2 linked regions of the Nothobranchius furzeri genome follow. The protein of the gene in region 2 purifies or fractionates together with the protein of the main gene of each other region. This does not show direct contact. Links are inferred from orthologs where the notes say so. Each region holds a gene or a part of one and is shown on either strand. Other genes may lie near its edges.

The links.
Region 1: the proteins of dbnlb (region 2) and neurl4 purify together in Homo sapiens (co-immunoprecipitation; 4 studies listed by BioGRID and IntAct, counting the BioPlex papers as one, with this or other methods). This does not show direct contact. The link is inferred for Nothobranchius furzeri from reciprocal best matches to the Homo sapiens genes DBNL and NEURL4.

What each region holds. Positions count from the first base shown.
Region 1 is NC_091742.1:53,430,791-53,435,330, reverse strand, and holds the start of neurl4 (neuralized-like protein 4), read right to left. Parts: upstream 2,846-4,540; 5' UTR 2,673-2,845; coding exon 2,508-2,672; intron 1-2,507. UniProt on the Homo sapiens protein: Promotes CCP110 ubiquitination and proteasome-dependent degradation. By counteracting accumulation of CP110, maintains normal centriolar homeostasis and preventing formation of ectopic microtubular organizing centers.
Region 2 is NC_091757.1:38,248,668-38,252,485, reverse strand, and holds part of dbnlb (drebrin-like b), read right to left. Parts: intron 2,776-3,818; coding exon 2,698-2,775; intron 2,575-2,697; coding exon 2,423-2,574; intron 2,343-2,422; coding exon 2,288-2,342; intron 2,112-2,287; coding exon 2,040-2,111; intron 1,851-2,039; coding exon 1,727-1,850; intron 1,456-1,726; coding exon 1,333-1,455; intron 755-1,332; coding exon 680-754; intron 1-679. UniProt on the Homo sapiens protein: Adapter protein that binds F-actin and DNM1, and thereby plays a role in receptor-mediated endocytosis.

The sequences.
Region 1 (4,540 bases), on a different chromosome or scaffold from region 2:
TGTAAGTAATAATATTTTTTTATCCAACAGTGCAGATCTTTGTACTTTTTGGTTTATTTTAGTATTAGTTGGCTCATGTTAGTGTTAGCAGGGTTGTTTATGACAGTTGTAATTACACTTTCCACCAGTAAGGGGACGGGGGGACGGGACTTATTCAGTGTTGCTTTAACATATTTTCCCCAAACACAAATGATTCTAAAAATGAATACCTGCAATGACAACTTCACTGATGAACTGTTGGTTAACAATATAGTGACTTCCCCACTTACTTTATTCCATCAGGCAGAAAATTGAGCTGCCTCAAAGTCTTGATTCCAAGGCAGAGAAATGACTTTTCTAAGGGTGTGAGGCTCATGACCTCTGACCTTAAAGCTGTTCTCTACACTTTGTGTGGTTTTAGATGTTTACGAGGAGATCACAGCTAATATCACCACTGCAATAATCAACTGTGCTTGTTGTGATTGCACTTTTTTTAAAAACTTGTGCACTTCCAGGACAAGCCCTAAACCACTCAGAGTCCACTCACTAATAATTCACTTCATTCATCTCGAGTTTACCCCCACTTCCCCTGCAGCACAGCAGATGAATTAGCAGGCATGCCAGGGGGCGCTTTGTGATGGAAAAATATTGATTTCCAGGTCATGATAGCGTGAGCTTCATTATGAGAGCTCTGATCAGACAAAGCGGGGTGCGTGATCATTTACAAGCAGTTGGTACCTATTAAGCCAAATGTTGAGCTTACTGACACTAACAACTGCTGGCCTGTAGACCCCAGAACGGCCTTTTAAAAAGTGTGTAGGATGTGTGGCCCAGTTGGCACAAGTTCAGAACAGAAGAAATCTTTGATCAATTCTGCAGATACAGAGAAGCTTTTATGAGAAACGTAATAAAAATGTTGATGCTGCTGAGAAACTTTAGTCATACTGATGACTGGAAAGCCAACAGAGCATTCCTAAAGAAGAAAATCCGGTCCAGAGGATCCATGCAAAATGTCTTTACATGTTTGCATCTTCTGTTTATGAGAAACCTGCATCTTTTATCGTTTCATTTGTGAAATTATTTTAAATAAATAAATTTTTTGCCGTCCTCCAGGTCATCCTTTATTTCATGTTCTACATAATATTTTCACTTGCTCTTCAAGAATCTTGCTGCAGCACTCTGAACAAGCTGGAGGTGAGTTACAGCTACCAAATAAGGCAGAGTTACAGTAGTCTAGGAATGGCGTAGTGAAGGCATGAACAACAGTCTCTAGTCAGCAATGGCTTTACATTAGCCAAGTGTCTCAAATGATAAAAGGAAGAAGATGGAACTGATGTGAGCATCAAAGCAGAAAGCAGTGTCAATCTTCAAGCCAAGATTGACACTCATGTAGAAATATAATTCACCACGTTAGGGAACCATTAGGCCCAAAAAAACCTATTTTATTTTCATCGAGAAACAGGAAGTTCTCCACCATGCCAAACATGCCTCGACTCCAGCAAAACAACCCTTGGGATTTCTAATGGGGTGGTCTCCAGCGTCATCTAAAGGTAAATATAGTTGGCAGTCGTCAGCATAAATTTAGAAACCAATTCCATACTTTTACAGGATGTCACCCAGTGGGAGAATATAGATAGAAAACAACAAGGGTCCAAATATCAAACCCTGTGGGACCCCCTCAAGGCAGATGTGAGAAGGCAGGAGAAACACCATCCAGCATCCTCACACATATGATCCTGTCATGAAGATGTGATCTTAACCAGCTCAAGGCCAGACCAGAAATCCCCACATTAGTGCTGAAGATGAAGGAGCAGCACGTCATGGCCCACTATGGAAAGCTGCTGTGAGAAAACCACAGCAGAGACATGAGATGATGCCTTAAGATGTTAGTTTATAATCAATGACTTGCTTACATTTAAGGTTAAAACACAGTAACTTTAAGAGTCTGACCAATTAGAGAAAGTCGGGATTATTCTAAGGGGATTAAGGTAACCAGGCAGCGTGTTGCAGCGCTGAAGGGGAGAACCAGCTCCAGATAAACTCAGAACAGTGATTTCTGTTCCTCTGGACGCCGCAGCACCATCCCTGCTAGAAGCTTATAAACAAAGCTCACCTGTCCCGTATTTAACCGCTCGGCCGCCTTACATGAACGAAAGCAGCGTTTTCTCCACAAACACGACAGAAACCTCCTGTGGTACCTTCCAGAAAGTCCAGTCCAACCAGCAGCTAACCGGTGTTTAGCACGGCTAACCAGTACCGGAGCAAGACGGGCGGGTTGCTGCTAACCAACTCGTTCGTTTATCCTATCTACTATCCGGGAGGTGTTCATCAAGTCACCATGTCCCTGTAACGGCTCAGATAAAATCCCCCCTCCCAGAGGTCGCGACTGAAGGCTGCGGTCGCTGTCAAGCTCTGCGGACCTGCCCCCGGGTGGCAGAAGCCCCTCGCCGCGGGCAGAGTCAGACAGACCCCCCGGCTCGTCGCCGCTCCAACACCGCTCAGCAGCAGGCGGGCCCGTGCTTGTTTACCTTCTTGTCAATCCGGACGGTGAAAACATCCCGGTCCCTGAGCGGCTCTTTGCTGAGCACCAGGCCGTGGTTGAACTCCTGGACTGGCTGGTTGCGCCGGGCGGTTCGGTTCGAGTTGGACAGGCCGACCAGCTTTCCGCTCCGCGGATGCAGCTCCGCCGCCATCTTCAGTGGGCGGCAAGGATTCACGACGCTGCGAATTTACGACAGTTTAGCTTCACTTTCAGCCTTCACGGTAGTATCCCGAAAACCATGGCAACCGTGTAAAAACGCTACAAAAACTCTTTTGAGGAAAAGTAGGATGGTAACTTTAACTTGAAAATGAACTATTTAAATTATTATGTATTCACGTGTATCTGCGTCTTCGCCCTGGTTAAGAGTCTTTCATTCTTTTCCGATAATTTTGAAGCCTACAGAAACAAAGTTGTACAAAATATAAATTGTTGGTTTGTCTGATTCCCTTTTTAATTGATTTAGAACATTTTTAAAAGATGTAAGCAAATTTTCCGCAGTAAATGTTAATTCTCACTAATATAAAGTACTGCATGAAGTGTCCCCCAAGTGTCGATCCAGACCCCACTCTGTTCAGTCTATGCTTCCTCATAGACTCACTGAGTTGTGCATTTCCTCATCAGCATGATGTAGATCCTAAACACTCTCTTATTTAGTGCATCAATAATACTAATTAATGCACAGTAAAACGAATAGAAAACGTAACCTATTATTTTTTACAAGTAAATAGATTAAATCTGAAAACAGAATCACACCGTCGTTCTAAAAGGCCAAGGACACGACAAGGTTTAATAACTATTTGTCAAAATCTGGCTAATAGATGCTAATTTATGAAATTTGGGCTGAACTATTTAAACTTTTATGAAATTCATCAAATGTGTTTTATTTTGGGCTGTGCTTTTAATATAATTAGCCATATATCTTGCTTTTTATGTTCAATGGAAGCCACACTTCGTTTTTAATGCACTATATTATTTAAATATATGTTGATTTAAGGTTTTACCCAAACCAAACGGATTTATACAGTTTACCTTGGAACCAAGGAGGTGATGAAAGAAATTAAACACTACTTGTAATGATCCACTAGGGGGGGCTACTTCATCATCTCTGCCAAACCTCATTGAACAGAATTTACCCTTCATTTTACCACCACCACCACCATATTAATTAATATTCACTAATAACCATTTTAGGGAGAGACATTTTTTTATTCAGAACCTGAAACCTGTTTGTGCCAAGGTCAAACAAACACTGAGAATCTTTTCTGGATATTTTATTACAGCTGCAATTGGAAGAGATGTTGAATTTAAACAATATTACATGTTAATGAGAAATTATTTATGCGTCATTTTAAGACTTTTTAATGACACATTTAAGATGAACGCATAATTACTATGAGGCGTGTGTGTAGACATTATGACTGAGGCTGGAAGCAGTTTGATTTATGTCTCAAACTCTGTGTGATGTAAACAGTTTCATCACTGAACTCTTTGAAATTCAGCTATTTTATTTATGTATATACTCAGTTTATGGGATTTGGTTTGTTTTTCTCCTACATTTTTTCTAACATGATTTCCACTTTTCAGAATTTTGTGTCGTTGCATGTTTTTATGTTGGAGGTTTCTCATTATTCTCTAAAATTTGACACATATTTTGTGTTTGATGTTAATTTTCAATGGCTGATGTAATCATTTGTTTAGTGATTTGATTTTACATCAGAAGTCTGCATATCTTGCTTCATCTGTATTAGTTTGGTGGGTGACTTATGATCTTTTTTAAATCAGCGGCTAATTGTTTCCTTATTGTAATTTTTACAACTCCTGTTGAGTATTTCATACTTCTTTAAGGTCATTTTACTCCTCTATTCCTACGCTCCTTATCTTTGCATTTTACTTTTTGGTCCATTTTCTCTAATTCATGGACGTAATTTTGGGGGGGACAGGGGGGACATGCCCCCCCCCCCACACACACACACACACACTTTTTCAAAGTCAAGTTTTGACCCCTGTACTTTTTACCAT
Region 2 (3,818 bases):
TTGAGCCTGTGCGGCTGAAGAGATTATTCCCCCTCAGAAGAAATGTGGAATGCTGCCGTCGCCATGGTAACTCAGTCTCCCTATCCCAGTCTGAGCGGGACTACGACCGGTGAAGGCCGTTGAATCGACTCCAGGAGTCACTGTGCTCTCTAACCCAAATACCTCCTTCCCCTGTCCAAACGGAGGTGACGAGCGCTGCTAATCGCGGCTGCATGCACTGATGTGAGGATAGTCCCCAACCCTACCTCCCCACCTAGTGGACACTTATGTTGTGTAATGTCTGAAGACTGTTGTATTTCTGTCTGAGGTGTTTTTTTCATAGCAAAGCTGCCCTCCCTGTGGAGGGTAACTCTGAAGTGCCTTTTTTTTCATCCACCTGAGCCAATCCTCATGTAACCCTCTGATCTCTGTTAAGGTAGCGTGACTCGGGTTGCGAATGACCACAGTCACCAATTCTTGTCATGTGTCTATGCCTATGTATGAATGTCTGATCTCAGAATTGTGTGTACTGAAACTCTAATTTCCCTCTGGGATTAATAAAGTATCTTTGAATTTGAATTGAAAACAAAAGGCTCCTAAAATAAACCCAAACATGTTTTTCTATCACATGAAAGCAGATGGGAGGGCTGGGTGTTTGATGCAGTCGCACTGAAGCTGATGTGTGTGAAATGACCCCCACCTTTCTGCTGCTCTTGGGGAGGGGCTTCCTGCTCATCATACTCACACTTGGAGTGCCCACCGTCCACATCAGGCTCTTATTACCCAAAAGACAAGCACAGACATGCATGTAGCACAAGTCCACACAGGCTGAGCACCACCACCAGACTCAGGCACAATGGAATTTTACTCAAAGATAAAAAAAAAATTCAAAAAGTTGATGGAAGCTTGACTAATGATGAGTAGAGCAGAGACAGCACAGATGCAGGACAGGGAGCTTTTACGTGTGAGTCGGACATCTTTTACGCTCAGTAAAAACCAGACTGTGCATCACAGCAGCTGCTCATAGTTTCCTATTGACGTATAACTAATCATTATTAGCATTTGTTAGCCTTCATAGCAGCAAGAAATAAATAACTAAAAGGTAATATTAATAACAGGTATTTACGTTTTTATAACAATCTTGTTTTTTCCAAGTATGAGATCAAGTGTAATTAGTACAAAATAAGTCATAAGCCACAGCTAAATCCTTCAAACTAACCCAAAATCTATTTGGTCAGATGTTTGGCTAATCCTCTAATTCTCCTTTTGGTACCACAAACTGCTATGCTACTGTGTGTGTGTGTGTGTGTGTGTGTGTGTGTGTGTGTGTGTGTGTGTGTGTTAAGCTCACACCTGTGGCATGGCCAGGAGAGGCAGAGCCTGCTGACACAGGAGGAGGAGAAGCTTGGCGCTGAGGTGAGCTGGCTTGCTCACATTGGTTCACTTGCTTAGACAGAAATGGGCTGTGAAGACGCCCTGAGCAGACAAACACCCGACCCCGCCAAGCATGCAGACAGATGGATGAGAGAGACGACAAAGAGCAGCCAGACTGAGCAGAGAGGAACAGACTAGACTACGACCGATTCAGTATGATTATGAGACAACTACATGGAGGGGCGGCATTAGGAGACGAGTCGCCCTGGTTTGTAGGTACGCAACCATGACGAGGGTGAGGCTTAGAAAGGTTTGCAGTTATGCAAGATCAGCTGCTGTTAGCTAAGCAATGAGGTTTACGCTTGGACCATACCTGGCTGAGGGCTCGCAGGGGCAGCAGGGGGTGTGTCCGAGTCGCTGGGTGTTATTCCTCGCTCCCTCTGCTTGAACATCTCTCTGGGGTTCACAGAACGCTGAGAGATCAGAGAGGCAGCCTCCTATAGAAGAGAAATGAACAGAGGATAGGAGATTAGGATCACTTGGACAAGGCATGAAAAATGGAAACAGGAAATCAGGCGAGCGCCAACAAGCTTGGAGGAGATCAGAATTGAGAGGAGAAGTGTTCATCCGGAAACAAGAAACAGGAGGACAGGGTTATGCAGGAGAGGGAGGTTTGGGGAACTCACATTAGCTTTCTCCACAGATTCACCTCTCCTAACTGCTTTTCTCTGGACCTCCTGGTTCTCCTGCCCCTCATCCTGGTGATGTTGAAATGAATGTTGGCACTGCTGATGTTTGCCAACCTCACTTAAGTGCTCACAAGACGTATGCACGATCAAAACATTTTTAGCGATCACCAGAGTGCATCTGCTCCTTCATGTCTCCATCAGCAGGAAGTCTCTTACTGCAAGTGTAATCTTAACGAAGCACTCACCCAGCGTTGTTTTTCCTGCTCTTTACTTTCAGCTTCCAGCTGTTGTTGGTACTTCCTGTAAAACACAAGAGAAGCAGCATGATTGGTCCAACGGCTGTTTTCACAGACCCATCTTTTCCCTCAGCTGCAGCTCACTTCTGTTGGTCGATCTGAGAAGCTCGCTCCTTGTCCCGTTTCTCCCTCACAGCAGCCTCCTTGCTCTCCCTGTCTTTCCTCTCCCTCTCCAGCTTCTGGCGCTCCTCGTCAGCCTTGCGTCGCTCCTCCTGCCGCCGTCTCTCCTCTTCTTTCTAAAAGCACAAAAAAGGTCAGCATCCAAGAAATTTGCACTAAAATACACGATCAGTAAGTTTAGAAGAATGTGTTAATGCACGTATGTGTATAATGGATACACCGGCGCAGAGTTAGCATACCTCCGCCTGTGCCCAGAAGTTGTCCTTGTTGGTCTTTCTGATTTCAGACATGGCGTTGGTTTTCTGGTACACCGAGCCCTGCAGGGAAGAAAGTGTATTTTTAACTTCAAGAATAACAGCAAAGGGTCCAAAAGAAAAAGAACATTACACTGATGAAGTCCATCTCAACACCAGAACTACTAGGATACCGCAGTTTAGCAGCTCAGGAGTTCATAATTGGCTAAAAGGGCTGTAATTTTGGATGGTTTTCCATATTAATTGAAGCAAATTATCCCTCGTCTCATGAAAGACATCTTAGAAATTAAGTGCTTAATGTTTTATTGAACCTTATTTAAAGCTGGATTTGGGTCTTTAGGACAAAAATATAACAAATATTACATATACATCTTTTTTTTTTAAGTTGCATAGTTTAGATATTTTACGCCAGGTTGACACCCGGGGGGGGGGGGGGGGGGGGGGGCATCAGCGCCGCGGAACAATTTTGTGCAGAGCATCAATCCATGTGGAGCAACGTCTCTGCCATCCTCTTCACTAGACTCAAACGATCACCAAATCCCTCGAGACTTCATCCGCGACTAAAGTAAAAAGAGGAAAAACGAGATTACATCCATGAAGAAAAGCCCACCGTTGAACTTCACCAAAGATACTGGTAGTAAATAAACCATCAGGTCACTCGTAGATAGGGATGTAATGGTTCATGGGGGAGTGTTGAACCATTTCAGATTATTTTTTCCATTAGATAATTTATTTTTGTTTGCGTGATTTAAGTGCAGCAGATAAAAGTTCCTAGGTGAGTTTCCGCACGAACGCTGTATTGAACGACACATGATGGCAGCACGCGCCCAATCTCCGTTTAAAAAAATGTGACCTGCAAATTCTGATCAACGCCTTTCAGAGCGGATCAAACCAGCTGGCTGTCGCTGCTACCGTGGACCCTGTAGCGACCCTGAACGGAGCGTCGCTTTGCCCCTCCCTTCCTTCTCTCACACTGTGCAGGCACGCAGCCTTAAAAGTGTAAACAAACATGTCTGCTGAACTTTTGGGACAACTGATGTAAAGTTTTAATCCTACAACAAAAAATACGGCACGGAGGAAGCTCGTTATTTAAACACGAGAGTTAA